Linked DNA regions of Lytechinus pictus. The protein of the gene in region 1 purifies or fractionates together with the protein of each later gene. This does not show direct contact. Links are inferred from orthologs where the notes say so. Each region holds a gene or a part of one and is shown on either strand. Other genes may lie near its edges.

What was found.
Region 2: the proteins of developmentally-regulated GTP-binding protein 1 (region 1) and N-terminal Xaa-Pro-Lys N-methyltransferase 1-like purify together in Homo sapiens (affinity purification with mass spectrometry; 3 studies listed by BioGRID and IntAct, counting the BioPlex papers as one, with this or other methods). This does not show direct contact. The link is inferred for Lytechinus pictus from reciprocal best matches to the Homo sapiens genes DRG1 and NTMT1.

The regions. Positions count from the first base shown.
Region 1 is NC_087246.1:19,624,131-19,640,225, reverse strand, and holds the start of developmentally-regulated GTP-binding protein 1, read left to right. Parts: upstream 1-6,230; 5' UTR 6,231-6,352; coding exon 6,353-6,391; intron 6,392-12,643; coding exon 12,644-12,767; intron 12,768-12,968; coding exon 12,969-13,013; intron 13,014-13,275; coding exon 13,276-13,406; intron 13,407-14,081; coding exon 14,082-14,151; intron 14,152-14,438; coding exon 14,439-14,538; intron 14,539-16,095. UniProt on the Homo sapiens protein: Catalyzes the conversion of GTP to GDP through hydrolysis of the gamma-phosphate bond in GTP. Appears to have an intrinsic GTPase activity that is stimulated by ZC3H15/DFRP1 binding likely by increasing the affinity for the potassium ions.
Region 2 is NC_087259.1:13,081,074-13,097,168, forward strand, and holds N-terminal Xaa-Pro-Lys N-methyltransferase 1-like, read left to right. Parts: upstream 1-8,962; 5' UTR 8,963-9,063; coding exon 9,064-9,471; 3' UTR 9,472-14,058; downstream 14,059-16,095. UniProt on the Homo sapiens protein: Distributive alpha-N-methyltransferase that methylates the N-terminus of target proteins containing the N-terminal motif [Ala/Gly/Pro/Ser]-Pro-Lys when the initiator Met is cleaved.

The DNA.
Region 1 (16,095 bases):
ATATAACTATAACACTGATGGGGTTCAAATTTTGATTGTTTTTGTTTTTACAAACAAAAATGATGTGCAATATTCCTTAAACTATTGTTTGTTCTTAGTTAACATAATATTTGAATACACTCTATGAGTTATATTATTTATGTGTAAATATTTCATGTTTGTTAATCAAAGGAACTATTTTCTTATTAAGCCAAAGTGATTGTTCTTTTACTGTGCATAAAGTATATATGCTTTGGTCTTGGTACCATTCATTTCATCAAATTATTTTTTTTATGGGGAAACATGTTTCCATTATTTTATCTGGAACAAGTAGTTTGCTGAAATAATACCTTGAGAATCAAAGGCTTGAGTGTGTGATATGATTAGAGAGTTTCATCTAGGTAAATCAAATATCTGAAATCCCTCTGTGATGTTGAATTTTGTAAAGCAAGTGATGAAAAGAATCTCTAGAAATAACAATGCCTCTTTAGTACTGACTTGAAATCCACAATAAACAATTGTGATTTGATGTGTGAACTGATGCCTTTCCGGGTACTCTCATGAAAGTGGAGAGTAGAACTTGGCAAAATATTGCCCTCATTTTCTTCACTAGTTGTCTATAGGGAAACCTGGAAGAGGGCAATATGACAGATATTGCCTGCTCTCGCTTTGGAGTCAAGGCAAAATATGACCTTTTATTTTGCAGCTAAAATGTCTTGTATAGGTAGTAATTATAATTTGTTTTGTTACTTTTATCTCATAATGACTTGTTTAAAGATGTACAAAGTTTTTGATACTGTTTATACTGAAATGATGATATGTACATTTGTGAACAAATGATTAGTGAATGCCTTTTTAGTGCAAATGAGTTGGGTTACCTGCAACCAATGCATTGACTAGAGTTTTGTTTCAATCAGAAACGATTAATTTCGTTTTAATTTTAACTTAATTACCCAGGGTAGCTACTTCAGTTGTAAGCTGTTCTCCCAGTGGGTCCTGCATGATATAATATCTTGTTATACAGCGTACAGTCTTTATATTATAAATGTTCGCAGACATAAATGCATAAAACTGCTTGGTCTATAAGACCGTTTTGTCTAAAAAATTTGGGAATTCACTTTATCATATAATGAATAGATAATTTTTCTAGTTAGTCACATTGCATGCTACAGTACACATCCTATTTGAAAGATCCCCCCTCCCCCCAAAAAAAAGAGAGATAACCAACATGAACAAAATATAATGGAATCCACATTAAAGATCATCAAGAACCTGACAAAAATTTACACTAAATTAGTAATTTTAAAACTACATCGACCAAGGAAATGTAAAAATGTGAAATGATTGTTTACTATTAATGTACTTTTATTTTAGAATGGATATGGGGGGGGGGGGTTAGTGGAGACAACTTGTTGAACAGTGATATGTATAAGAAATTTATCAGTATTACTTAAAGAGTCTTTTTCAATTATGATGCACAAGTGCACTTGTATTACTTTGTAATTTGAAATGCTAGCAGATGCACAAAATAATTATGCTTTTATATAATGCTGTGCCTTGTTACTTATATACTCTGACTCTTAAATATTTAAGCCAATCTAGAGTAGTCGCAATGAGCAATAATATAGTCTTGAAAATCCAGGTGGAAAATTAGTATTGTATCATGGATTGAATTCTGACATAGTATGTGCAAGGCAAACATTGTGAAATAATGAAATTAGTTGAAATCTGATTACCAGTATGCTGAAAATGCAATTCATCTTTCTACCATTTGAACACAATGCCTTGCTTATTTTGTTGCTTACTGAACAATTGCTAATTTTATAACAAATCACATTGGCACAGTTACTTGTTTATTCATACATATATACAAATACTTCATGTTTACTTTGTTGGCATCTGTTGGAATTTATTTTTATGATAGTGACAATTATTGTTTACCTTTGAGAATGGTGCTTTCCTTTTTAGACTCTTAGACCCGGTTCTCATTACTCTTTCTAAAACTCATTTGCTGGAAACCGGTTCAAATAACCAGTTTAGAAAATCGCTTTGCTAGCGTTTCCATTTGATCACCCGAAAGTGGTTTTCAAAATCACTTCACGTAAAGCGGTCTTGTTGCTACGGGAACGCTCTCAGTGGGGTGACACGTTTCATGCGAAATTTGAAAATGCAGCGTAGGCATTCTACACACAGTGTGTGGAGTAGCGCGCTCAAAATGTGCGAAGATCGCTTCCCGAAGAACTTTTGTGTCCTCGTTTACGCTAAAACTGGATTAATGGCAAAAAGAAGCTGCTGAAAACTGCTTATCTAATAAAAGAGAGCCAATGGAGTAAATTATGAAGTCAAAAAGGGGGCCTAAGCTTTCGATCCTAGCAGAATCTTCGTCGGAGGCAAAATGACAAACATATAAAGTGGAACAACCATAATATAGACCACAAACAAGCTACAGCAACACTAGAAACAAGGAGACAAAAGGGGCATTAGTGAGTAGAGAAGACCAATCAGGTTAGTGAAGGGGATGAAAGAAAAGGAGTAGGCAGACACAAAGGGAAGTTAGTGTAAGTAAGGCCAAGAGGGATTAAGATAATGAGGCAGGCAACATCAAACAGGATCTGGAACAAAACAGTGATAGAGGGATGAATAACTAGAGAATTAATGAGAGGTGGGTCAAACAGGTTCCAAAGAAAGGCCTGTTTGATGTTGCCTGCCTCATTATCTTAATCCCTCTTGGCCTTACTTACACTAACTTCCCTTTGTGTCTGCCTACTCCTTTTCTTTCATCCCCTTCACTAACCTGATTGGTCTTCTCTACTCACTAATGCCCCTTTTGTCTCCTTGTTTCTAGTGTTGCTGTAGCTTGTTTGTGGTCTATATTATGGTTGTTCCACTTTATATGTTTGTCATTTTGCCTCCGACGAAGATTCTGCTAGGATCGAAAGCTTAGGCCCCCTTTTTGACTTCATAAAACTGGATTAACGAGGCAAAGCGATCTTCAAAACTACATTGCGAGGTGGTTTTCCGAATCGGTTTGGAAGATCGCTTCCAAGACCGCTTTGACCGATCTCATAACACTTTTAACTAGTTTCCAGTAAACTAGTTTTAGGATGGTAATGAGAATGGTGTCTTACTCCTGACACATGTCTCTATATTTTATTCCATTGATGTGTGTATTACCATTTTACTGCATTAGCATATCATTTGTCAAAGCAAACTTTTTGAAAACTGTTCTTATCCAAAAGGTGCACATATACTTACTATAACTACAGTGTTTAGATGTGAGTGTTCTATATGTGTGTGCATTTTAAAAAAAGAAATATATTTAACAGAATTTACCTTGGTTTTGAAAATTTACATAATTATATTTTAACTTAAATGCTTTTTTAAAAGACAGGTTCATGAGTTCTTATCTTATTTTTTTTCACTTCAAAGAAACACCATTGATTGGACATTAACAAAAAAACTATCTGATTCCAATGAATTATTATACAATTATTGTGATAGCTTTGGTATGAATTTTTAGTTGAAATTGAAAAGCAAGTAAATTTGAATACAAGTGAGATTTTTACCAATCACCAATAAACTTTGTACTTTGTTCATTTGTGCCTTGTCATTAATATAAACATTTGTCTGGATCTGGGGAATGTTACACAATTAGCGTGATTGAGAGTCATGCTTAAACGGCAACGTGCACAAGATATTTAACACGTAATCTGATTAAATGATACACTGTACTTCACGTCTCGTGTGCAATTTCTGGGCCCCTTTTCAAATTCATTAAGACTTGTTATAATGAAGAATGCACAATTTCTGTAACAAGTTTGCTATCAGTCATTCAACTTTAAGGATTTCAGTAGCTATAAACTGCTGTTGCAAATTCGATAACAGTTCTTATGATCCAGGCTCCTGAACATTATGGTGATGCATTATTATCCCGCATGCAATTGAAATTTAAGTCACACAAATCTTTGTGGAACACCCCCTTAGATTGTAAGAATAATTATCTTGATAGTCTACTGTGTATTAAAGTTGGCAATCACAGCTGCTAATTGACAATGCAAGAAACTGTTTTGAAATTGCCTGGGTAAGAAATATTCCATTCACTTTATACATGTATATACATGTAACCTTTTAAAACTGCATAATAATTTTTTCCTTGTCAAGAGTTTTTCAGAGCTCTTGTTTTTGTAGTGGCCCTTTTGTGTTTTTGCTTTATATTCATTTGGTCTTCAAGCAGTTGGTCAACTTCTCAGATGGTCTAATACCACATGGGCGTAAACCTAGTTAGTCTTCTAATTGCTGTTTGGTCTAATACACATTGGCCCGTATTCTGAACTTGGGTTTGAATTAAACCATGGTTTAAATTTGTGGTTTAACTATGGAGAGTCAAGTTGGACACAAATTCCTGACAGCACACATCCCATTAATTAACTCATTTTGACACACAAATTGTTCATAATTGTCTATTGAAGTATTCTGAAGTATTTTTCTTCATTATGAATGCAACAAGAAACAAAATAGCAAACATAAGAGATATACAGTATCAACAAAATTTTTGAATTATTGGCTCCCCATAATTTTAGCACAGAGATAGACCGTGGTCTAAGTTAAACATGACTTCAGAATACGGGCCATTGAGTCTAATGCCCACATGGTCATGGCCTCCGGGAAACCATGTTTGCTTGGGGTACTGAAGCACCCCCACAAGATTTTTCTGGGATGTATGTCTCGTATGCTATTTACCATAGGCAGCAGCCCTCTGTAAACCAGGTTGACAAGCAAAAAACTTGAAAAAAGGGTTGTTGATCCCAAATGACAGAGATCTGGGAGCAATTTATCACCTTTCCCCCCTTTTGCTTGTCAATTTTTTTTAATGACAATCCACTGAACAATATCCACAGCACTCCTTATTTAGAAATCGTTCCCGGGGCCTTGCACATGGTCAAGTTTCAAAAACTTCATTTGCTTATCCTGCTTTGTCAAATGAAAATGTGATTTATTAATGGGTTATCTGACTTTGGTACACAAAGTGCTTTTAGACCAAGTGGATAGTAGACAATGGATAACGTCTGATATGACATAAGACAAAATGGCTATGTATTTTAGACAAAGTGTTTAGTATAGAGGAACTGGTTGGAGGCCAGTTGGGGTAAAGACCATAGATATATGCAACTTGGTTTATATGTCTATGGTGTAATTGTGTAGGCCAATCATTAATTTACCCTTGACATATATCACATCTACCCAGTAGCGTACCGTGAACCGCAGGAGACAAAGCATTGGGGGGGCAGTGCATTGTCTGTGAACAATGCTTTGCCCCCCCAATGCTTTGTCTCCTCCGAGTCACGGTACGCTACTGCATCTACCCCTGCCGAAAATGGGGGAACAAATTAAAATAAATCCAAACAGGTGATCAAGCTGTAGCAGTGTGAGAGTGAGACGATCTAGGAATTCCCTATTATTTTATCAAGTATATAAAGCTGGATATGAAATAGTTATTTCATGATTATAATGGAAGATGGCTGATCGCATTTCATTTATTTTGTGCATTACATTCTGAAAATGGCCTTTATCATATGCCCATGTTTTTTTGTTTAAAATGTGGCTGTGTGCTATTCAAGTTCCGGTATGTTTTTTTGAGAGACCTGCATTTACATGTACATGATCAGGGCCCTGTACAAACATAAGGAAAAACAATTTAATTTAATTCCAATCAATTCAAAATTTTGTGCATGTGGTATACCACAGCTGACAGTAAAAAGTAAAAAATCATATCTTTTATGTATATGGTCCTTGTAAAAGAATTTGAATCCTATTTTTGGTTGATAATTAAGTTTTCACCACTATATCTCTGTGCTACAAACATTTTTCCTTGCCGCTCAAATGAATAAAATATCAGATACACTTATGATTATTATAATTTCATGGGCTTTTTAAGATTTTGTTGCTTATACATAATACATACTGGATTTAGGCCTACGTGAACAAAAATATTAAAGAGATGAGATTTGAGAGAGAGAGACGAGGGAGAAGGGAAAAGGGAGCTAGAGAATATGATTAGAAAAATTAAAAAAAAAAGGAAGAGAAAGCAGGGATTGATGAGAGAGTGAGAAACAGAAGAGAGAAGGGGGGAATAAAAATGGCGGCGGTATAGAGCATTTATTACAAATCATCTTGCTCTTCCCGTCTTTTTTCGGTCTCCCTTTGGGGCCCTTCGGTCCTCGTCTCCGTTTTATGCTCGCGGTATAGTCTTGTTCAGAAAAGCTTTTCTCGCGCGCTCGCTCAATGCGAGTTACTGTCACATGTGTCGCAATAGTGACGTCTGGTAGATGTGATTTGAGCCCTTCTTTAGTCTGTGACCTCCTATATTTAAAAGATGGGGATTCTGGAAAGGATTGCTGAAATAGAGGCAGAGGTTTGTGATTGAATCCGATTTCTCTCAGTTGTGCCCATACTTTATACTAGTAATATAACGCCAATTGTCGGTAAAAGACGGAAGACTGGTGCAAATTCTTTCATTCTATTGCATGGTCCCATTCGTTTACTTTTATGTAGCTTGCACAAGCAATGTGACACTGCACTGTGTGAACTGAGTGAAATTGATGTGAATGTGAGACTGAAGTAAATGTGTAACTATTAGACCATGTCTTTCAAGACGAAATGGGCAGTTCAGGCAGAAAATAATGGCCTAATTTGTTCACCTCTGATCCTGTGACTGATTTAGATCTAGGCCTACATCGTTAGGCTTAATTTAAAGTTACTCACATTACGGCCTAAGGCTAAGTACGGGACTGAATTTGGATTTGAGTGGACTGTGTGGGAGCTGGGAGTCTGCCACTCACACGTATGCAGGGTGAAATACGGGATGAAATTTAAAAAAAAGAAAAATGAAATACGGGACAATCGACAAAAAAAGATCAACAAAGAAGGCCACAAAATGTTAGACTTGTGAAGAAAGTATAAAGAATTGGGAGGGTGAACAAAAGAATGAAGGAGAAAATTAAAGAAAGTTAAAATAACAGAAGGATGAAAGAAAGAATAAAGAGAGAAAAGGCGTTTCCGTCATTCTTTGAATTGAATATAGAAAGGAAGGGAAGATGAATAAATGTGTGAAAGACAAAATAAAGGAGAGAAAAAAAGAAAGCAAGAAAAAAGGAGGAAAGAAAAATGTTTCCTTTATTCTTTGAAAGAAGCAAACGGAAGAAAAACAGGAAGGGAGGAAGGAAAGAAGGAAAAGAATTATAAGAAAAAATGAAAGAAAGGAGGAAAGAGAGGGAGGAGAGAATGAAAAAAGAAAATAAAGGAACGCGACAAAGAACGAAAAGAAAATGAGAGGAAGAGAGAAGGAAGCAAAGAAAAGTTTAAGGAAATAAAAAAAGGAAATTTGATAAAGGAGGCAGGTAAGAGAAAGAAGGAAAGAAAGAAAAATGGAACACAGAGAGAAAGGATCAGGAAAGAAAAATAGGAAATTAAGATAGATAGAACAAAAAAGGGCAAGCAGGAAGGATAGAAGGATGAAGAAAGAAGGATAGAAAATAAAGAAAAAGGAAAAAAATTAAAACTTCAAGCAATTAAAAACGATCCAATGATCTAACAAATATCTATTTGGTGTTTTTTAAATATATTCTTAAAATTAAAAAAGCTAAAATGTTTTAGAAATGAATAAAATTTCAAAGTGAAACATTGTCAACTTAAAAATTAGATGAAACATCGCAGCATCATATACACAACAAGACTCAAAACGAAAGCTGAAAGAACTAGATCTAGTTATGAAAACTCAACTACTTGTTCCTCCGTTTACATCTCCAAATCAGTAATCTGAGAATCCATGATATAATTATACAAATTTCCCGCCGATTTGTGATTATTTTGGTTGAAAAACTGTTGATCATGTAATTGTTTGCACCATTGAGAATCTGCTGCTATCCTACATGCCTAGCTAGTAGCCTGCCACACACAGGCAGGAGGCCAGTTTGTTTGCAATGTATTGGGTTAGCAAGAAAATCACAGCAGAACTTGCAAAAGTTTAGTTATCGATTTTATTGTTGTCTCTGCTTCGTCATCTGTTGGTTAATTGATGAAAATTCGTCACTTTTAAATGTATTAACTACATTTTGTTCAATATTCTGAAATACGGGACAAATAGGCGTCCCGGAAAGAGTTTGTTGATGCGATCCCGGGAAATATTGGAAGTCTGGTCACGCTTCACGTATGCGAGGTTAGTAGGCCCTATGCTATACTAACTTCGCACTACGAATGTGATTACCGTAAGTAACGGTGTATTAACCGCACCTTTTTCTCGGCGGGACAGAATCAAAAGTCGGGGGTGCGGTTTATACACGGTGACAGGTCTGAGCCAAGCCAATCTCAGCCCGATACCACTACCAGTTTTCAACTCGCGTCGGGTGGCCGAGCATAGCCGCTTGGGGCAATCCCGTTTAGAGGGGTATGAGCCGCGGGTATAAAAGGGAAGCAACTATGACTACCGGTATCTACCGTAAATGTCCCTCAAAGTTATATCACGGTAACAAACGCACCTACCTTCATGAAACTGACTTTTTTTAATGGTGTGACTCTGTCTTTGTTGTCATTTTTTAGTCATCGCGGCAAAGTTCAGACGCCAATCGATCGCACAGCGCGGTGCAGCTAGCCGAATAAGACATGCATGTGTAATGTTTATCGCAACGTCAACGTAAGCTGGCGCTTTACCTTTCCGTGGAAGTTATTTTGTTTGACAAATTATTGGTATTATTTGACAATTAATTTCTTTCATTTGCCTTTCCTTCATTTCTCTCTATCATCCATCATCTCAAAATCAATCTTCAATCCCCATCTTCACTCCTTCCGACTTTTTATTTTTAATTATTATTCACTTTATTCCCGCCCAGAGCTCCCATTGAAAATACGGTATACCGGTACTAGCATTTTTCCCCTATTTTGCTGTCTGTAAGATACCGCCACACACGTACTGAGAACTACCGGTAGTGGTTCAAAGCAGACAAGAAAAACACCTGAACAAAATCGCAAATTTCTCGTATCTTGAACCTTCCCGTATTCCCTTGTCTAAAATTCATGTCAAGACATTGAATGCTAGACAGAATTCTGAAAGCAAAAGTGGGGCTGTGATGCAGGAAATATGATATGAACGATCTTCTCGTATGGGTGAGCCCCCATGTTGATGCTGGTATCGGTACTTGCAATGAACACCGGTACCATATGTGTGTGTGTGAGGTGACTCGGAGTGTGGAAGTGGCCAATAATATCGGCAACTTGCAGATAAGTGACGAAGCGCTGATTTCCCATCATTTTTTACCAGTAATTCTTCGATATTTTTTGGTTCTTGACTCTTTCTTAAATACGCATATTAGAGATAGAAAGTAAGTTTGATTAAATTTTTTTTTTTTGATTTTTTTTTTTTTTTAATGATTTTTTTTTTTTTTTTTTTCCATCCGAAAATGGGGGGTGCGGTTAATACACGGGTGCGGTTAATACACCGTTACTTACGGTAAACAATGGATTTTTGAGTTGTCGGTTAACATCACTTCATAACAGGAATAATGTTTGTCGAAACGCGTTCCGCTACTCACCAGGGCTCTTTCCAGTGACGGGCTATCCATTTTCAATTTTTTAATTATTTGTTGATAATGAAAAGCACATAAAAAAAAAGCACAATCGCTTACCTCGGCACGGAAAGTGGCTTCGCATGTCTCTTCTACAGAAAAAGGAAGGCCGTTGGTGGCGCTAATACATTAACCTTTATTCAGCTCGTCAGTATTTTATCTAAATTCATTGTATGTGCAATTCCTATGATTGTTTGATGAAATATGGACACTAATAAATGCAATAACTAAAAATACATGCTTTTAGATTATTATTGCTGACGATAAAACTTTTTGGAAAACATTCAAAGTGGTGACACATGAAACAAAAATATAGAAAATTCTACGTGCCTTGAACAAAGCCAGCAGTGCAAGCTACCGTTCGTTTGTCAACAAACGTTCCACCAAAGTCTATACAATAAAAAGATTGCACACTTTGCTGACTTCGCATAAAGCTTTGCACAGTGACGTAACTATGGGGGAGGTGGGAGGCAAAGGAGGAAAACGGGAAAGGGAGAAAAAGAGGGAGAAAGAAAGAGAAACGTAGTGGGGGAAGAATAAATTATTGTTTATTAACTATGATATATTATTCAATTCAATTCAATTAATTTATTGTCATGTTCAATGATTAAAAACACAAAAATTGTCCTCAGACTCTTAACAAAAAGTGCATTGAAACAAAAAATAATCACAAACTATAAATACATCAAAATAATACATACATGTAATATAAATATATAAATAAATATACCCTGTATGCATGCTTGAGCACCCACGACACGACACCAACCCCTGAACGACTGTATGAAACAAAGTGTAAAACCTTGTAACAGACCCACGGAGAGTATACCTAGGAAATTATTTGGGTGTATGGAATGACCCAAATGAACTACATCAACAAATATTCAGGGAAAACATAATTTGTGCCTCAAAAGAACAGTGGAGTTATGACCTAAGACATGTTTTCATGAGGTAGTCAAAATATGCAAACACTCTATTTGCAAACTTTTTGCTAGTCCACTCTGTTCTTCTCGAATCTTCCGGGCTTTCAGTGATGTTCATCAAATGTAGACTTTGAGACAACATGACATTTGCAAGAGCTGGTAATATGCTTCAAAGGATGCTGGTAGTTTCAGTCAGCCCATGGTGCTCTGTCGTTCTGGTCAGGCATTGCTGCACCAGGTCATCGTCGTCCTTGAAAAACAAGATTTCCATCCATGATTTTTTATGGATCATTTCCGGCTTCTTTGATGAGGTCAGGGACATCTCTGTAGATGTTTGGGAGATCAAACATGTGGATCAATATATCCTTTTTTCAAGAGGGTAGTTGTCACATACTTGCTGAAAGTCCTAAGGCTCTACATGCTGCGAGGTAGTAGGGTTCTGTTACAACAGCAGCAACAGTCTTTACTCTTTAGGCTGCTACACTTTCCAGGTTGGGAAGGCATCATATCCTCTAGGAAATAAACATATGCTGCATGAAAGAAAAAGATGTTTGAATGGTTCCCTCTTGAGTTGTACAAGAGGTTACAACCTCATCCTGTTTTCCTTCAGGAAATCCTCAGAGTAGGTCTGGAACTGGCCATGATTATCAGACTTCTCATCTCCACCATGGGCAAATGCTTTTGACAAATTCTTGATGAAGACAAAGAAGTCTCTTTGGTTAGGACTTGAAGGATAGACTCTTTTTCCTTCAAAGAGTTCTTCCTCTGTAGTAAGCAATGTCTTCTCACACACCTCTGTGTACTCTTCTAGACTATGAGGTCTACAAAAAAGTAGTAATGTTCTCCAATGACCTGCGCTCTTCATCACATAGGTTCTCCCAGTGGTCAATAACCGGTGGCAAGACTTCTTTTTTATCTGAATTTCCAACAATTCATGCCATTTTAGTTCTGTTGCAGCATGGTCTGACCTTGTGTTTCTTACATTGCCTCAAAGCTTCTTTCCTACCACACTGGCTTCTTATTCTGCATCCTCAGTGTCTGTAAGAACTTCTTTAAAGGTGACAAGGGTATCAAATGCAGATTTTGTTGTGATGTTTCTCAACCCCAGAAATAATATCTTTAATATCACCATATACATGTAGTTTAATTTCATGTATAATGTGGTGTCATCTAGTGATGTGACATCTTGTATTATCTGCTCTTGTGCTAGATAGAGCCTTGGAGTATTCATGTTTTCCATAAGTAGACTTCGCAGGTATCCTGATACATGTACCTCCAATAAGATGCTTCACAATTGCATTGATGCATGGTTAAACTTTCAACACAGCTGCATGTACGTGATTGTCAAGTAATTCATAAATATTAGCATATAGCCATGTTTTGTGAAATTAGAATTGTAACAGTTCTTTTCATTGTTGTAAGTTTCTCTTTACATTCTCTCACCCTAAGTACATGTATCTCATCCAGTTCCTTGTCTCTATGTCTCACAGCAGTACATTCTTTAATTGTCCTCTTCCAAGCAGTTCATCTAACAAGTTTCATGGTTCATTCTTTCTTCCATTTTCTTGACTTTTTTTCAGTAGTTATTTTCTTTGTTTTACTCCTTCTTGTCCTACCTTCTCTTTCTTTGCTGGGATTATCTCCTTTAACAATTCCAAAACATTGTGATTTTAAGAGGTCTTTTTCTTCTACTATTGATAGGGTGAATAGAAAGGGAAATGAAGTAGAGAAAAGAGAGAAAATGATATTAGGTGATAAAAGCACTTTTTGTCATAAATCATCATTATATGCTTCATTAAATTTGAAGCCCCTTTTAGGATGCATATCTGCATTGGGATCCTTTATCCCCCACCAAACAGGGATATCTTGGCCTTTGGGAGGAGTTCGTACCCCAATCGTGGGCAACCTCTTCATCATTTTAATACCAAGTTAGGCAGCAGCTAAAAGCAGAAAGTTACAAACAACCAAGTAAATAAATATAGATATGAATGTGAAAGTGTTTTCTCTTCGTATTCCTCTCTTTTGATTCAAACAGTTGGTTGCTTGCTCCATTCCCAGAGGAGTGGAAAACATCTCAGAAAAAAATACAGTAGACTTGACTTGTTTATCTTTTTGGATTCACAGATGGCTCGAACCCAGAAGAACAAGGCGACAAGCGGTCATCTGGGTATGCTGAAAGCCAAACTTGCTAAGCTGAGAAGAGAGCTTATTACTCCTAAAGGAGGTGGAGGAGGAGGGGGAGGAGAAGGTGAGTTTACTCTCAAACATAAATTCAGTGGAGTCCAGTGTTCTATTATGTAAGCAACTGGGAATTCTGTGCAATTTTAGTCACACTTGCTAATAATCCAGGAGGCCACATATGGCTTACTTTGTTTTATGTCCAATACTATTGGAAACTATTAGTATTTTAAAAATTCAATAAAACCATATTCTTATTTTTTTCCCACAGGTTTTGATGTTGCCAAGACTGGAGATGCAAGAATAGGCTTTGTTGGTAAGATTTGCATTTTTTTAATGGAAGTTACAGGTTTTTGTCAAAATATGTTTCCTACACATTCTTTCAGAACAAGTTAAAGTACAGATTTTCCTTTCACGAAAATCTACCCCTTTTAACCCTAACAAAAGACAAACTATATTGCGGTAGCTTATGTTTTTCAAGGTTAAGCATTTTTACTCTTTATCCAACTATCTAAAAATTACAATGTTTGTGTTATTTCTTCAAACATTTTAATTTTCTCTCTTTTGTTGGTTGGTAGGGTTTCCCTCGGTGGGCAAGTCTACCCTTCTAAGTAACTTGGCTGGTGTCTACTCTGAGGTAGCTGCGTACGAATTCACTACACTCACCACAGTACCTGGTGTTATCAGATACAAGGGTGCTAAGATTCAGGTATGTTATCAATGAGTGATTTCAAGTTTGGTGTTGGTGTAGAATGCGAGTAAGATGTACTCCCAACACCAAATTAGAGGGGTGTTTCACGAAGAGTCAAGTTTGAATTGGAGTTGCACATAAATTCCCATTTAATGTGTGGTGTAAAAGGCATCATCGCATTGGTCAAATCATGCAAAGAGGACACGCACTAGTGATCATTAATCAATAAGATTGCATGTTGTAAACCATTTGTGCATCAGCATTTAAGTATGAATCTAAATCATTCTAAGCTCTTTGTGAAACACCCCCTTGATTTACAAAATATACTAGTCACTTTCGAAATCCATTAACTCAACACCAAATTACATATAACATGATTCTCAGCAAGAGACCCATTTCAAACTTGATGTTTATAACGATCACCCTTGCACCATTACCAGAAATCAACGTCAATCTTGAAGTCACCCAATATTTCCCCTAATTCTTTCATGGATATCGATATTGTCAATGGCAAACTCCTTTTGCATATTAAAGCTATTTAAGCTTTGCTTGTCATCAACCTTCCTAATAAAATGTCACAGAAACAGTGCAAGATTGCGAGGCTACAGGCTTAATGATTGCTCGGACATTGAGAATGACCCAATTTATGCTTCTATAATGTTATTTTCATCTCTTTTGTCTTTTCTCTTTCAGTTACTTGATCTGCCTGGTATCATTGAAGGAGCTAAAGATGGTAAAGGAAGAGGAAGGCAGGTTATTGCAGGTGAATATGTATATTTTTTTTTATCCTACATGAATTAAATCCTGTATGATTATTATCTGAATATAATTTTTGGAATGTTTTTAGATTTTACATATCTTCTAGGCAATTCTCATCCTTCTATGAGATTAACGATTGTGGTAGTGCATTGATGTCTGTGTAAATGACAGACCTGTTAACTGTTTCACAAGAAATTATTATTTTGTTATTTCTTTTCTGTCAAAGAAGAGCATATTAATATTGAGGCTTGTAATTAATTCCCTTCTATCATATTGTGTTTTTGTTTCCAGTGGCAAGGACATGCAGTTTGATCTTGATTGTACTTGATGTTCTCAAACCCCTCAAGCACAAGAAACTGATTGAACATGAACTTGAAGGCTTTGGCATCCGGTAAGCCATCATGCTTACACTATATATCTTGGTTGGAGGGGGGGTGGGGGAAATTTAGCCCCCTTGACATAAGACATAAAGGTGAATTCTAATTCATGCATATTTTAACTAATTTTGGATCAATTAACTATACAAGTTTGTTGATTGTATTGTGGCTCTCCCAGGCTATGCGTTTTCAAAATAGCATGGGTTATTGTTATATATGATGAAAGTTGATACTCCCCATATGATCATACCTATGTAGGAAAATTTCCCACATTAGATGACCAAATGGAGTTTGAAATGAACTTTCTCATATAGTTTCTGATAATCATTTGGGTTGTTTAAAAATATATGTTGAACTTTGAAATATATTCATGCAATGGTATGTCTGGTTATCCATGAACATGGTTGACCATGGTCCCTGGGCCCGTATTCCATAAACGAGATAAGCATGCTTAAGTCAAAAATCTAAGCATTTTGTCTTATTTTCTGTCTAAGACAAAATTCTTAGCCAAAACGCGTATTCCATAAAGAATTGGCTAAGAATTTTGTCTTAGAATTTGGCTAAGAGGTTTTGCGCGACTAAGACAGATATAGGATGAATGGCTAAGTAACTTTTCTTAAAACTGCAGAGTCTGTATTTCATAAATACAACATGGCTAAGAATTTAGCCCTAACTTTAAGACAGTTGTGAGTTGTCTTAATTGCTTTAAGACAACCTGGTTTAAATCCAACAAATCATGGCCAATTTTTTTAAAGAATGTATACCTATATTGCATTTCGAGCTACTTCCTCAGTTTTTAACCGATTTTCATGAAATTTGGAACACACATTGGTCTTAAGGTAAGGAGGTGTAAGAATTTTTTTTTTGCTTTTTCAGAAATTGTGTTGCCATGGTAACAGTATATTATGGCAAAAATTTAAAATTTAAATTACTTCATCAGTTTTCTACCAATTCTCATGAAAGTTGGCTCACACATTGGATTTGAGGAAAAGATGTGCAAGACACAATTTTGCATGTGTCGGATATTGTGTTGCCATGGTAACAGTATATTAAATAACGAAAATTAGGTGAAAAATTTGTGGTTTTAACAAGTTTATAATATTTCAACCACTTCTCATGATGTTTGCCACAGACATAAGTCTTGAGGTAAAGATGTGCAAGACACATTTTCGCATGTGTCGGATATTGTGTTGCCAAGGTAACGGTATATTAGGGCAAAAATTATGTAAAAATCTTGCAGTTCCAACGACTTCTTCAGTTTTTAATCAATTCTCATGAAATGTGGCACAAACGTTAGTCTTGATGTGAAGATGTGAAAAGTATATTTTATGCCTTTATAAAAAATTGCGTTGCCATGGCAACAAATAAATTAACAAAAATTAGATGAAAATCTTGTGATTTGAATTACTTTATCAGTTTTCAACTGGTCAATTCTCCTAAAATGTTGGCGCACACAATAGTCTTGAGTTGAAGATGTCTAAGATATACTTTTTCCTGTATCAGAATTCGTGTTGCTATGGTAACATATTATATAATGAAAATAAGGTGAATATCTTGTAGTTCGAACTCCT
Region 2 (16,095 bases), on another chromosome or scaffold:
ACACCAGTAATTAATTCATCTGATAAAAAAACATTGATGAAGTATGTGATATGGTATGTAATGTCAGTTACCGAAAACATGAACTTTTTTTTCTCATTTCCTGGAAAAGAGGATATATTATATGAAACTTGGTAGATTTCCTCTATAGGTAACACCCCTCCCTTCTACACCAAAATTAAAGATTACCAATTAACAATGAAGCCATAGGGTACCATTAAATATATGTAATGTCAGTTACCAAGTGGAAAATGTATTGTCAGTTACCGAGATGTAATGTCAGTTACCGTGATAAAACGTTGGTTACCAATATTGAAATGCAAATATGTGGTCAATTTTATGGTGAAGAAATATTGTATACTTGTTATTTAAGTCTTTCACTTTAAAAGTCACACCAGAAGGAGCTTGCTATTGACTTTTAAAAGGTATAGTTCACAAGGAATACTATATGAAATTATGAAGGAAGTTGCATTCCCATCGTGCAAAATAAAATTACTATGAAATTGTTTTGTACATGCACTTACCAAGTACCTTATTGTTTGTATCAGACAATTTTTTGTTTGGTTTTCGGGGGGGGGGGGGGGGTAGGGGGTACTTTTCCCAACCTATTGCCTAAATCTGCAACATTTTTTTAAGCTTAACATTGTGATGAAGGGGATTTCCAGGGTCCCTTTTTTAGTTTCTAGGATTCTTTTGAGCATTGCCTCGTTAAAGGTAAATTCCTGGTTTTTATACCTGTTAGTAGTGTGGATGTGTGATACAATTTTGTTTTTGGTTTACAAGTATAGATGAAAAGTGAAATTTGACAGTTCTGATCAATGTTGCATGGATCTACTAAAACTGTGTTTTTTTCTTCTAATTTACAAATAGTTCAGTTTCAGTTTAGAAGCTGGAGTTTATTTTTTGTTGACAGCTTAAAAAAGAAATTAGCAAAGAAAATGATTAAACAAATTATGAAGGGAATTGAAATCCGACAGATATGAACAAGCATTGCTTGCACTGACCAGAATAGAAATCAATAAAACAACATGGCTGCATGAGATTTGGGGGAGGGGTATGTGTAGCCTAGGGGAGTAGACCCTTATTCATTTTGCCTTTTTTGAGGGGAGGGGGAGGTTGGAGAAGGAAAAGGTTTAAAAAGTCAATATAAAACTGATGAATATATTATGGGTGTATAGTCAGAAAAATCCATGTGTACAGTCAATGCAATATTAAATTACTATAGGAAAACATGCTGCTATGCAGGGCCTGACCTTTACTTTTTTCTTAGGGAGCCAGCCGGGCTCCTCAGACACTTTTTTAGGGAGCCCGCATGGGTTTTAAGGAGCCCAAGTTTATCCCTTTTTTTTGCATAATACTGGTCATTACCTATTAAAATATTAAAGCACACCATCACGATACATTTTTTGTTTAATAATCATCAGCACCAGTTGTATTTATTCAGGGTAAATCAGATTTTGACACCCCAACACACTTAGACACCGGTCACAAACACATAAGTCAATGACTTTTTTTTTCATTTTTAATGCCCCCCCCCCCCTCAAAAAAAAAAAAAAAAAAAAAAAAAAAAAAAGGAAATAAATTAAATACATAAACAAAATTGATTTTTTTTCATGCTGAATCATGGATGTGGGTTGGTGTGTGTTTGTGTGGGTGTGACTGTGCGGTGGACTTGGATATACATGTATATGTTAAAAAAATTAATTCATCATCTAATTTCTACTCCAAATATTGTGTTTATATCAGTACAAAAACCACACAGGCTAAGTATGTCACATGTAGGCACATGTTACATGTACATGCATGTACCCTAACTTTTCCTGCAGTTCTTTGAAAACGCAGATCTCCACGAAAATTGCATTTTTCTATGGGGGAGTCTAAATTCGGTGAAAAAGTGTTCATCAATAACTTAAATATATATCACAATGAAGAAACCATCCAACTTTATTGGTAGTTTAAAAAAAAAAACTGAAATGTAAACTCTATCTAAAACAGAAAATCACCATCATTGAGGCCTTTACTGACCGAATTGTCCCCCAGAGCTCAGGCAGAGAGAGAGAGCTCCGACTTGCACAAGTGTCAGTGCGTGCGTGAGTAAAATCCGACGGCCTCCTAAAATCAGATGTTGCCATGTTTGATGATTTACTGTCTGATATTTACCCCCTCCCTTGAAAAAATGAAACAAAAGATTTTTCAGGAATAATTCACTACCGAGGTAAGTTATTTTGGATGTTAATAGGCGCCCTTTTGACAAGCAGAGCCGAAGTCTACGTGACACAGAATCGTGATATCCCTAAGGGAAATGTGTGCATTGGAAATTACACACGGCGTAAATGATAATGGACCCCTGTACATGCAACTGTTTCTCGCACCGGTGTAGCCCGATTCTTTTTTCCATAGGTACCATGTGTGTGGAAAAACGTGGTACAGAAAAAAAGACGCAGCTAAGCAATTTGAAACTCGCTATTTTCGCTATTTTCAAGGTTTTTTATGATTTTGAAAACATAATTTAGACTTATAAAGCATGGATTAGTGTGCTGGTAAGAAATTGCTTTTTTGGTGGCTGGTACTAGAAAATCTTAGGGAGCCCACCGGGCTTTTTCAATTACTTTCTAAGGAGCCCGCAGAGGTTTTAGGGAGCCTTTTGCCACCGGGCTCCCGCTAAAATCGAGCCCTGCTATGACCCCATCCCCCCCCCCCCCCGAGTAAGTAAAACGTACATTTCTTATCTTTTGATAATTAATTATGTGAAGTATTATGAAACTTTTATGATTTTAAAAAGCCTTACATATAAGTACCAAGAAAATTATGCCTTTGAAAATCATATAGCACTGGTAAATGTTAATGTGTATTGTCAGTTACCGACAAGTAATGATAAAAATGTTCAATTCAAAGAAAGGAATTAAGAAAAAGAATTTTTTTTTTCATTGAAATGTTCCTAGAAACTCGGGTATACTTCCACATCAAGCTCACTTTCATGTGAAGCCCTGCACAGAAGATACAATGCAATGATTCCACACATTTGACTTCCATGTGTTATCTCTATGGCAAATTAAGTGTAATGTCAGTTACCGTAATGTCAGTTACCAGCATGGTTGTGGAAAAATTATCATAGCCCACAAAAGACAAAAACAAATTGTTTAATATTTTGACACATCTTAACCTAGTAACTGAGGTATATTTACATATTCAAATTATTACTCTATCTACTCAGGGACATGAGATATTTCAATTTTAATGAACACCCTGAAATTGCATGTCCTTTTGCGTAATGTCAGTTACCGACACATTTTTGCTTGCTGATGCGTAAAAAAATGTGGTTACATAGGAAAACTTAGTATCAGAGTATACAGCAAGGTTCACTTTATTAACTCTATCAAAAGCAAACTCCCATCATTTGTTGTTTTAGAGATACACACAATGAAAGGTGTGAAAACATTGTGCCGTGTAATGTCAGTTACCGTGAAAATGCCCTTAGGTGATTTCAACGCTCATAGTACCCTCTGGGGCAGTGACAAAACCGACAGAAATGGACAAGCCATTGAGCAATTTATATATGAGAATAACTTAATAGTATTGAATGATAAAACAGGAACTAGACTTGATCCTTGTACTGGAAAGCTTTCGTGCTTAGATCTATGTATGTCCTCCCCATCACTGGCCGGTAAGGCGATATGGAAGGTTATGGAAGATTCCTTTGGGAGCGATCATTTTCCAATTATTATTCAAATAACACTTGGAAAGAAAGGAAAAAATCATGAAAATCTAAGTAATCAGGCCAAAGATAACATGTCTCATGAACATATCTCTTTCAAGAATGTTAACTGGCCCATATTTGCATACAAATGTGAAAATATCATAAAAAATGAAATAATTAAATCTGAAGATGGTATTAAGAACATTTTTTATTCATTTATGGAACGCTTGAAGGAATGTATTCATGAAGCAATCCCGAAAAAAAGAAAGACGGGGAAAAAATCCTGTCCCATGGTGGAACAAGGAATGTACTGAAAAGATTAAAGAAAGAAATAGAATAAGAAACCATCTATCAAGAAAAATCACACTTGATAGAATTAACGAATACAAAAAAAAGAAGGCAGAAGCCCAACAAGTTCTCCGGAAAGCGGAAAGAGAATATTGGCAAGCTTTTTGCAGAAGACTAGACAGATTCATGCCAGAGACAAAGATATGGTCATGTATAAAACGTTTAAATGGTGTACCTGTCAAAAAATCACAAAATATGCCTATTTTGATGGAGAAAGGTAAAGCCATTACGTCCTTAACAGAGAGAGTAGAGATTTTTGGAACTTATTTCCAATCCTTAGGACAGAAAAAAAAAGATTCCAATAAAACATTAACCAAGGAAGTACAAAATTCTTTCTACCAAAATGAACATGTTATTAATGAACCTTTCTCGAAGAATGAATTTGAGAAAGCAGTTATATCTACTAAATTTGCTGCTCCAGGAAAAGATAATATTCCATACATTGTATACGAAAATATGCCAAAAAGCACAAAAGAAATTATGTTGAACATTATTAATAGAATATGGGAATCCGGGGATATCCCGAGTTCTCTAAAACACTCAATTTTAGTGCCAATCTTGAAATCTGGTAAGGACTCAAAAAATGTTATCTCCTACAGACCAATATCACTTACATCTTGTTTTGCCAAAGTTATAGAGCGTATGATAAAAGATAGATTGCAATGGTACATAGATAAAAATAACTTATTGCCTAATTTCATCAGCGGTTTTAGAAAAGGTCGTAGTACTACTGACAATATTGTTTTATTAGAAAATGACATTCAAAAATCTATCAATTGCAGTGAGCACACTCTTGCAGTATTTTTGGATGTCGAAAAGGCTTATGACAGTCTTTGGATTGATGGATTACTGTACAAACTCACTCAATGTGGTATAGGAGGAAATATGTTACATTTTTTAGAAAATTATCTAACAGAACGTACCTTTCAGGTAAGAGTTACAAATACTGAATCCAGAACATTCCAAGTCCATAACGGACTCCCCCAGGGGAGTGTTCTGAGTCCCCTTTTATATAATGTCATGATGAGAGATATTCCAATTGATCCTGAAGTGACAATATCCACATATGCTGATGATTGTGCAGTATGGTTTTCTGGAAAAAATGTAGAGAATATTAGATTAAGGATACAAACTTATCTAGATGTATTATGTACCTGGTTTAAAGACTGGGGCTTCAATTTTTCTATTGAGAAGACTGTTCCGGTATTTTTCACTAAGCTCACAAACGTTACTCCTCCAACAGTCAAGTTTGAAGGGAGTATACTCACTTATAAAAATAATCACCGTTTCCTAGGAATGATATTTGATAGTAAATTGTCTTGGCATCCCCATATAGAGAACGTAGTTTCAAGAAGTAAAAGGAAATTAAATATATTGCGAAGTTTAACAGGAACTAAATGGGGAAGTTCATCTAAGTCCTTACTTATGGTTTACAGGGCAATTATTAGATCAATTTTTGATTATGGTTGTCAAGCTTATGATAGTGCTCCAGTATCTACAAAAAAATTGTTAGACTCGGTGCAATATCAAGCACTCAGAATATGTGCTGGTGGGCTGCCATTAACATCGCTAGTTTCACTGCAGGTGGAAATGGGAGAACCCCCTTTAGATTTAAGAAGGCAAATGTTATCAAGCAAGTATAGACAAAATATAGAAAGACATAATAATCACCCATTAATAACACGTATCAAACCATGCTGGCAGTTCGATTATCTTAAAGGTAAGAATGTTAGTAAACCGTTTGGTTATAGGCTCCAATCCAAGATAGGAAAAGAAATTAGTATCGAAAATGTTATTTCTCCATCCTTTCCCCCTTGGTTATTTTGTCCACCAGTTGTATCTACTGAATTGAGTTCACAAATCAAGAAATCGGATCATCCAATACAATTACAACAATTGAGTTTGGAATTGATACATACAAAATGGTCACACCAACTCCATATATACACTGATGGATCCAAAGCCCCTGAAAAGGGGATTAGCTCAGCTGCTTTTAATGTACCTTATTTTTCCTTCTACCAAGGCAAAAGACTATCGAATTTCACCTCCTCCTATAGGGCGGAATTAATTGCGATTGTTCTTGCACTGGAATGGATAGAAGATTTAGATATATATACAGGTGTTGTTATTTTCAGTGATGCATTAAGTGCACTTTTATCTTTACAGAATCGGAAAGACGATCCTATTATCACAGAAATTCTAACTATTAGTACAAGACTCAAATATAAAGGTATAGAGATATACCTGGAGTGGATCCCTGGTCACTGTGGAATAAAAGGAAATGAAATAGCAGACTCCTGCGCAAAAAAAGCTTTATCAAATAAAATAGAAATTCATAATCAAATAACATTATCAGAAATTATGCAACTTATTTCAAAAAGTTGTAAGATAATTTGGCAAGAAAGATGGAATAAAACTAACTCAGCACTGAAAGAACTGCAACCATCAGTGCTATCCACATATAAATGTAATCTAGGGAGACAGGAAACTGTACTCCATCGTCTCCGTTTTGGAGTCGCTGGTCTTAACCAAGATCTACTAAGATTAGGGATCCATCCAACAGGGTTTTGTGATAGATGTCCTGAGGTAGAAACTGTCAGACATTATCTTTTACATTGTCCAAAATATATAATTGAAAGATCAATGCTCCTTGTAGAATTGAATGAATCACAGCCAGGACAAATAATGGAGTATTTAAAAAAAGATGACCCAGGGATACAGAAAGCATTTTTACGTTTCGTTTCAAGAACGAAACGTTTTAGTAAGGAGTGATATGTGCTATTATTATATTGTATTGTTTATAAGAAATATGAAAGGATATGCTTGTACAAGTCTAATGTGAAAAGAATATATATATATATATATATATATATATATATATATATATATATTGTAAAGAAATGGATGAAGAGAACAATGGTAGGCGTAGCTTAAATCAAGGTTCCCCAGAGCTATCTACCCTTTGGAAAAATTGGTGATGCCGAAAAAATGTCTCTGCCGGGAATCGAACCCGGGCTCCCAGCTTATATATATATATATATATATATATATATATACATAATAATGCATGATATAATATATACAAAATGATATTTTCTGCACATATAACTAACAAAGCCCACAAGTGTTTTCGCCTTGTTGTTGTTGTTGTTGTTTAAAAAAAAAAAGAAACAAATTATTTTAATGTTTAACCCATCTGTAAGCACAGGTACACTAGCGCCCCCTCGTCTATGCATGGGTGACCTAGGCATTTTTATGTCCGAAAAATCGGCACAATGTACCGTGCTGACCGGTATGATTGCATCTTAGAAAGGGCAGGGCAAGCGCAACTAGTTGGAACTGGGCTGAAGATAGCGGTTTGTTTTTGGTGAAGATTTGTTTATATGCCATTTTGACAAGAGTTAAGACAAACTTTTATACTATATTCATCATTTTTATAATAGAAGGATGCACAAGAAAAATATTTCATATATGTATACATCATATTGGTAATAATATGAGAAGTGAGATTTTATAGATAAAGTCAATGGCGACAATAGTCAAATATGACTAATTGCCACTCAAACCAACATAAGAAGAAGAAGAAGCTCTTCTTGCACTTCACTAGGTGGTACGTATACTGTACGCGTACCGACTGCTTATGTGCAGCGCTGAGCTTGATCAAGCGACCGAGTGATTCCGAAATAGGTGTAAAACTTTGTAAAAAAGTGTCAAAACGGCAAATATTCAACTTCTACTGGACTTTGGAGGCTCAGATGCAAGTATTTTAGGTTGTGAATTATTTAGGGTGAGATTGTACATGTTTGAAAACCATTAAACGGGGAGGTGCGAAACTACACTAGCGCCGCCGATTGTACGAAAGGTTTTTTCCAGGACCTTCTTTCGTGTCGCCCATCTTTTGATTTTATGATGCGCTGTGTAGCTAGTGTAATGTCTATGCGGGATTATTATTATTAATAAATTAGATCTAACGTTAGATCTATTAACCTCACAATACGTGTGAGTGGATCTAGACCACTCACACGTATTGCGAGGTTAGTATTAGTATACTAACCTCGCACCACGAACCGCGTTTGGCAGTGGATTTCTAACTACCGGTAGTGGGTCGCGCGTGCTGGGATCTCACTTCTTGGGTCCACAACACACGACTTCTATGGCTTGAATTTTCTGTGCGCGGCGGCATGTAATGAACCCTTGGGTGGATCTCGACTAGACTTCTAGAGTACATAGACAGACTCTAGTCTATTAAAAGACTATAATATTAACAACATAATAAATTACAAACAAATAAAATTCATTTTTAGACCTAGATCTACTTACATGTAGATCTAGAACCTAGCTAACATTAACGTTAAATCAGTTTTTATACAGTTTCATGAGATATCACTATCAGTATCAGTTTATCACATCATTTTGTAAGAAAAATTTTGTTTACTTTGGACAAATTAAGAATAATATATGTTCGCAGGTAATTTATTTGTATTTCACATGGCACATCATAATAAATGGACGACACGAAAGACGGTTCTTGCAAATTAAGACCCTTTCATGCAATCGGCCCCAGAATCTGAGAAAGTCACAGCAGCCGAGCAGGAAAATGTAGGCTTGTTGAATGGGTAATGGGTTGGGTTTCTTGACATTAGAATGAATTAAACGAAAGGGACTATATTGCACAAACCCTGGTCATTGCTTCACAATTACTTTTGCTTCAAGGAATAACTTTCTTTTTTTGAATAGATTTTAAAATGAAATAAATTTTTGGAAATTTGATTTGTCTATAGGCCTACGTACATGTATAGTCTAGGCTTGCATTTTAAGATAATTTTTTATTCCAAGCTAAAGACTTGATTGTGAACTACATGTATCATTGTCAAGATTAAAGATGTTCAATATGTTTTTTGTTTTTTTTTGCATAGGGTGCCTGGGCTGAGAGGGTAGGATCAAACCGAGCCCTTGACTGTGGCTGTGGCATCGGACGGATCACCAAGCATCTACTGTTACCGCTCTTCCAGCAAGTGGATATGGTAGAACAGACACAGAAGTTTTTAGACGAGGCGGATCAGTTCATCGGAGAAGGAGCCAGTCGGGTGGGACAGAAGATATGCTCCGGTCTCCAGAACTTCAAGCCTCGTTTGGAGCACTACGACGTGATCTGGTGCCAGTGGGTCCTGGGTCACCTCACGGATGAACACTTGGTGGATTTCCTGAAGAGAGCGAAAACAGGACTCGCAGAAAATGGAATCATCTGCGTCAAGGAGAATATTGCCAAGTCTGGGGTGGTGTTTGACGACCAGGACAGCAGTGTAACAAGGTCCAAAGCACAATTGAAGAAGATCTTTGCGCTGGCAGGGCTGACCATTTTGAAGGAAGCTGACCAGAAACGTTTTCCGTTGGGTTTGTTCGCTGTGAGGATGTATGCCTTGAGATGATTGGTGAATATTCCTTTTTATATCTATAGACCAACTTAACAAGACTCATTAACAAGAAAACATTTGTATATTTTTTTGTACAGTACCATGAAAGTTTTTTTTGTTGTGTTGATTAACCTCAAACAAAAGAGTGAAGGTTTGAAACCTGACTTGACATAACCACATTATACATATCCAGTTGTAACTGGTAATGGTTGTGGTCATGGTACCAACAGGTCTTTTTTATGAGGATAACTACAAACTTTTTTTCATGGAATCTATTTGTCAAGTTTGTCATTCCTGGAAGTAATATCTGTGCAGGTAAGGTTTTGGGGTGCATACATGTATATATGTTATGAAACGACATCAAGATAGGTAATTGTACAACCCACCAAGATAACAGTTGAAACCTGTGACGTGCTCACAGTGATTCAACAAGTATTTGTGTACTGTTTCTGCCGTCCATGCTTCTATAGCTCACACATGTGTAATCCTATTTGACATTTAAAAAAAAAATATATATATATTTTCCGAGCAGAATGTAATTTTGAGCTATCAAGTTGCACCTCTACTATTTATCCCAGCATTTTCATTTGGTTTTACTTCCACTGCATGTTACATCACTTTATATTTTAATTCTTTTTTAAACACTTTCCTTTATTTAAGCTTCATCTTTTCATACTTCTATGATTGTTTTAAAATGATAATGAATATTCCACTTTAATATTGCACTTGATAAATCAGAAAATTGTCTGTTATCACTCTACAAATATATGCATGTAATACCAGGGTCATCACATCCCAGCTTGCCTGCACAGAATGCATTTTGTCCACTCCCTGGGGAGCATTCCAACAAGAGTTTCCAAAATCAATCCAGGCATACTACTCTATTGGCTTCTGCATTTCATTGGATACCTGGGTTGAGAGTGGCAATATGTGAATTGACGATTGCTAAGGATTTGAATACATGGCCCTTTGTTTATAAAGCTAAAGTAAAAAAACCATTACATGTACACGTGTACATCAAGAAGCTCCTCAGATCCTTTGGAATTTTTATATTAAAAGGAAAGGAATTCTACACTTTAAAAATGTCATTACTACTTTTATACTAATTTTTAATGCCAAAGCTAAATCTAAAGTATTGTTTCAAAAATATATTTTGAAAATTATATGATTATGATATGATGATAGGATATGTTTATTATTAATGTTGTAAAAAAAAATCACATTTTGTTTCAATTTACAGTAATTTTTATGAATATGGTATTGGATGTTTTGTAGATTTAGGATAAATGATGAACTGTTCATGTACATTTTCATGTACATGAAGTGTTGTCTCCATTTATGGAGCTGTGACTTGCTATTCATGGAGATAACTTTGTAAGTGACCTACTACTCTACCTTCATTTGAGCTATGTGGGGGGGGGGGTTGATAGAGAAAGACACGGGGACATGATTGTGCAATCATATCTGCACTAACTTCACCTTTACAACACCCCCCCCCCCCCTTCTTCAACAAGATTTACCATAATGGTATTTAGAGGTTTACCGTAATGGTATTATTATAAAGAAAATTACCCTAATGATATTTGGAAATATAAGAGAATACCGTAATGTCATTATGGAGCTACATGTATTCTGCTATCATGGATACCAATCAAAACCTTATTTCCTCTTTTTTTTTTTCTTTTTGTGCACAACTATTTACTAATAATGTGTAAAGCATTTCCATATTGAATGCAGAATAAAAGAGCATCTATAAGTGCCATGGCCGGGGATCGAAACACAGACTTTCCATGAATAGCCAGGCGCCTTGACCACTCAAACCCCCGACTTTCATAGCCAGGCGCCTTAGACCACTCTGCCACAGCACCCTGATTTTGATTGGTTGCTTTGCCCTACATTTAAAGGCTAATTACCATATTATAAAGAAAATTACCCTTATGATATTTGAAAATATAAGAGAGTACCGTAATGTCATTATGGAGCTACGTATGTATTCTGCTATCATGGATACCAATCAAAACCTTATTTCCTCTTTTTTTTTTCTTTTTGTGCACAACTATTTACTAATAATGTGTAAAGCATTTCCATATTGAATGCAGAATAAAAGAGCATCTATAAGTGCCATGGCCGGGGATTGAAACACAGGCTTTCCATGAATAGCCAGGCGCCTTAATAGACCACTCAAACCCCGGACTTTCATAGCCAGGCGCCTTAGACTACTCTGCCACGGCACCCTGATTTTGACTGGTTGCTTTGCCCTACATTTAAAGGCTAATTACCATATTTTTCAGGTTACCTTCATCAGTATTCCCTTATTCCCTGGTGAACATTTCTTGCATGCTAAATAATCACCAATGAACATTTGCTGGTGAAATTCACTTACCTCAAGAAAGGATCACCAGATTCACTCGTAGGAACAGCTTTATGAAATGCCCCCCCTGGTCTAGCAAGGGTGTTATGATGTACGTACTTATCGTCTTTACCAATAGTATTTTTTATACGAATGGGCCCAGAAATTTGAATACTTGATTAAATGACAATTTACATGTACATGTTTTCCTTTATGCTTCCATCCATTCTTAACAAGAAATCTATTTAGTTCCTTTTGATTGCATCTTCAGAAAAGACTAGTTCATTTTAATGTTCTTTGATTTGAACATAAGGAAACAGTATCCATGTATTAAAATGAATTATTATTTGTAAAGAAAGTCAGTCTATATTTTGTTGCTGAGTAGTTCAGGTAAATGTATTTCTGATAATCCTCTATGAGGGTTTCAGTTCAGATTTTCATGAGCAACCTTTTGTAAAATATTTGAAGTTGAAAAAAAAATTACATTACATATTGAAAGCAGCTTAAACTGTTTTTCAATCGGGGGGGGGGGGTAGAAATTTCCTGTATTTTATAACTTAAGATTAATGTGTATTACAAAGAAATTAACTGAGTAAGGCTGCTACAAATCATATCTGATCAAGTGTAGTCATTGTTTAAATTTTTTTTAATGGGCAAAATTTTTATTGCCAAAGTTTTTCTCAGTGTACTGTGTAAACCGAGAACTGATTTACCGCCCTCCCCTTCTGACAAAACTAACAGTATTAGATTTATACTACCAGTCTTGTACATGTAGCGTGCTTTATCAATTGGTGTGCAAACTGCAAATTTTTATTTTGCTTGATTTATCATACTTATTTGAGAATGTGGCATTATTTTTTGAAATCTTTCTTGTAATAACCTGTTCAAGAAGGTAATCAAAAATATAAATGAACATTTATTATTCAGTTCCAACAAAACACAGGCTTTATTATTCAAATTGCTCAGTTTTATATTTTAACATATATGTATGTATGGTGGTTATCAATTATCCACTCTAAAAGGATTTGTTTACATTGATCCTTTCTCACTTCTTTTTCTAATTATGTGACTTTAAATGTATATTTTATGTACTTATTTTGTTTGGAATCACTGTGTTGCATCTTCTTGAATTATATAGCAAATGTTATGAAGTTAGCTCTACTTGTAACTAGTAGAATAAATATTTTTAGATCGAGATCATGTATGGGGTTTTCTTTAATATTGTTTTATTCTGATTTTATGGTTCTGGGGACTGGGGAGGGGGGTGTTTTAGAGTCATGCTTAAATACTGACATGCACACGATGTGAATTATGAAACATGCAATATTATTGATTAATGTGCATTAGTGTGCATGTCCTCTTACTTAGTATGATTTGGCCAATGTGGTGATGCCTCTTGTACTGCACGAAACTGGGGATATACATGTACATGTAAGTGCGACTCTAATGGGGTTTTGCTAGAAACTTGTAATTGATCGCAAATCAATTTTAGGTCTCAAGATCTATTGAAAGTCATTCATTCTAATGCAAATTCAGAATTGATAGTCTGTTTCTTGCATCAACATGTATATATTAATTTGCTTTAGTTGAAATTGATCTATCACTTGTAAATTTGCAATTGATTGCAAATATTTTCTTGCAACACCCCTTTAGTCACACTTAAATCTTTTTGAAACGCCCCCCTGGTGGGTGTTTCATAAAGCTGTTCGTAAGTTAAGAGCGACTTTAAGAACGACTGGTGATCCTTACATGGTAAATGGTATATTCATTGGCGATGGTTTAGCGCGTAAGAAAGGTTCACCAGTCATTCTTAAAGTCGCTCTGAACTTACAAACAGCTTTATGAAACGGCCCCGTGGTCTGCTGTTACACATAGTAGTGATGCATTTTATAGCATTGACATATATGGGAAGTGATTTTAGCAGATAGGATACAATGTATACTTCTACGATCAAAGCATCTCAGAAGAGAGATACTGGCAAAAAAGTGACCCACCACTCTCAACCTCTTCCTACTTACTTGTCTGTGCTCATTGGCATTCCTTTTTGTATTTCTATATGAAGACCAGGGTCCCGTCTTACAAAGAGTGGCGATTGATCCGATCACCCACAACTAAATGTAAATCCATAAATGTCATAATTTTTCATAGGTAGAAAAACGTGCACTACATGTATGTTCTTTTGTAAACATCGAGGAGCACATTGAATTGTCAAGACAACAATGAACGTATGAATACATCATATCTAGAAAACATTTTGAGAATGCATGTGTATTTTATATGTGGTGTAGCTGGCTTTCCATAGTTGTGGTTGATCGGATCATTCACAACGCTTTGTAAGACGGGGCCCTGTTCTATCCAGCAGCTGAACTTTACACTTTACTGAAGTTAGTTTGCATTTTCAATATGAAAAATGAATTATATTCATGGTTATTTTAGAAGTGCAGAATGAGTACATTACTTTCAAGTAAACATGTACTTCATGTCAATTTTAAACATGGCAATGAAGACTTTCAAGAATTTTCTCTCTTTTTTTCTCTTTTATCACTGCTGCCATGATATTAATCTATAAATCATAAATTTGAGGCACTTATTTTGTAACTTCTCTCTAACCCTGTCTCTGATTTAAAATTGTTATGTTGTGTATTTGTTTCTTGCATGTTAAATGATTTATCTGTCATTACAGTTATGTAATTAATGTTTAATAAGAAATTCAAACTGTACTTATTCCAATAATATTAATAATTATTGATTATCAAATCAATTTCTCAGAGGCTTTGAAAATTTGATAGTGCATTGTCTCCTGTGTTTGTAAATTAAGAAGGAATGTCATCATTTGTATGGTGATGATGATCGTTATTATGGTTATGATCAGATGATGATGATGATAACGATGGTGATGATGGTGATGATGATGGTAATGATGATGATAGTGATGATGATCATGATCATGATGATGGTGGTGATGATGATTATGGTGATGATATTGATGATAGTGATTATGATGGTGATTGTGATCATTGGCTTCAATAATGGTGATGAAAATGATGAGGATAAATACATATTGATATGATGGTGGTGGTGGTGAAAATACTATGATGGCGATGTGGTGGTGGTGCTGCTGCTGAGAGTGCCCTTAGATGACCTAAAAGAAACAAAATTTACCAGACAACAAAATCTTCAATGAAAGATCGGTATGTTGTATTAAACACTGGCTGCTTTAACCTACAAAGTCTGTTTTATCTGATAGATACCATAGTAGCATTCAAAGACGTGCCTCTCAGCCAATCAAAATCAAGGAAAGTTTCAGACAAAATACTGTTGTAACGCCCTCCTACACTGGAACAAGGCTCAGCACATTGTTGAAAGAGCGACCTCTACCGTCATTTGTTTTAAATCGCTCTCTTGTTTCGGCGGTGTGATGTATCACCAAAAAACGTAAATTGTGGAAATAAGGATATCTCCTATTCATTATGAATTCGGGCGAAAAATGACTACACATAAACAAACTTTGAAAATAAGGAGCACAAACAAAGCAGATCGCTGATGTATCTAGGAAGTTGACCACAACAAAAAGTCGAGTTGAATGAAAAGAGAAAAATCAAACAAACATAATCGGATGTAAATCAAGAATGCCATGACACGTCTTTTGTTTAATTTCAGAAAACAGTTAAAATACATGCTGGGCCCCGTTGCATAAAAATTATCATTATGGTAACTATGGCCATGAATGGTATATACCATGGTAACGATGATCAACAGCCAATCAAAATCAAGGATTCAATGCAAGTTACCATTCATGGCCAAAGTTCACATAATGGAACTTATAGGCAACGGAACCCTGGGCCCTGTCTGACAAAGAATTGCGATTGATCCGATCAACCACAACTATGGAAAGCCAGCAATGTCAACATCTAAAATGCAAGTTTGTTCGAAATATTTTATAGATATGATGTATATGCATACATTCATCATTCTCCTGAAAATTCGGCACTGTGATTCTCTTTGTTTACTAAGGAGATAATACAAATTTCCTGTAGAAAAAATTAAGGCATGGGTGGATTTCCATACAATTAAGATTGATTGGATCAATCGTAACTCTTTGTAAGAAGGGTCCCTTGTTGGTATAGATATGAAGGAACCGATACCGTAATCCACTCTTTATTTCTTTTGTATTTTATTAAGGGCCTTTCCACACGTGAATCTTGAATCATCATGATGATTTGCAATTCGTCTTTAGAATCATCGGACCTTTCACACGAAAAATTCGTACCGTAATTTGAGTGAAACTT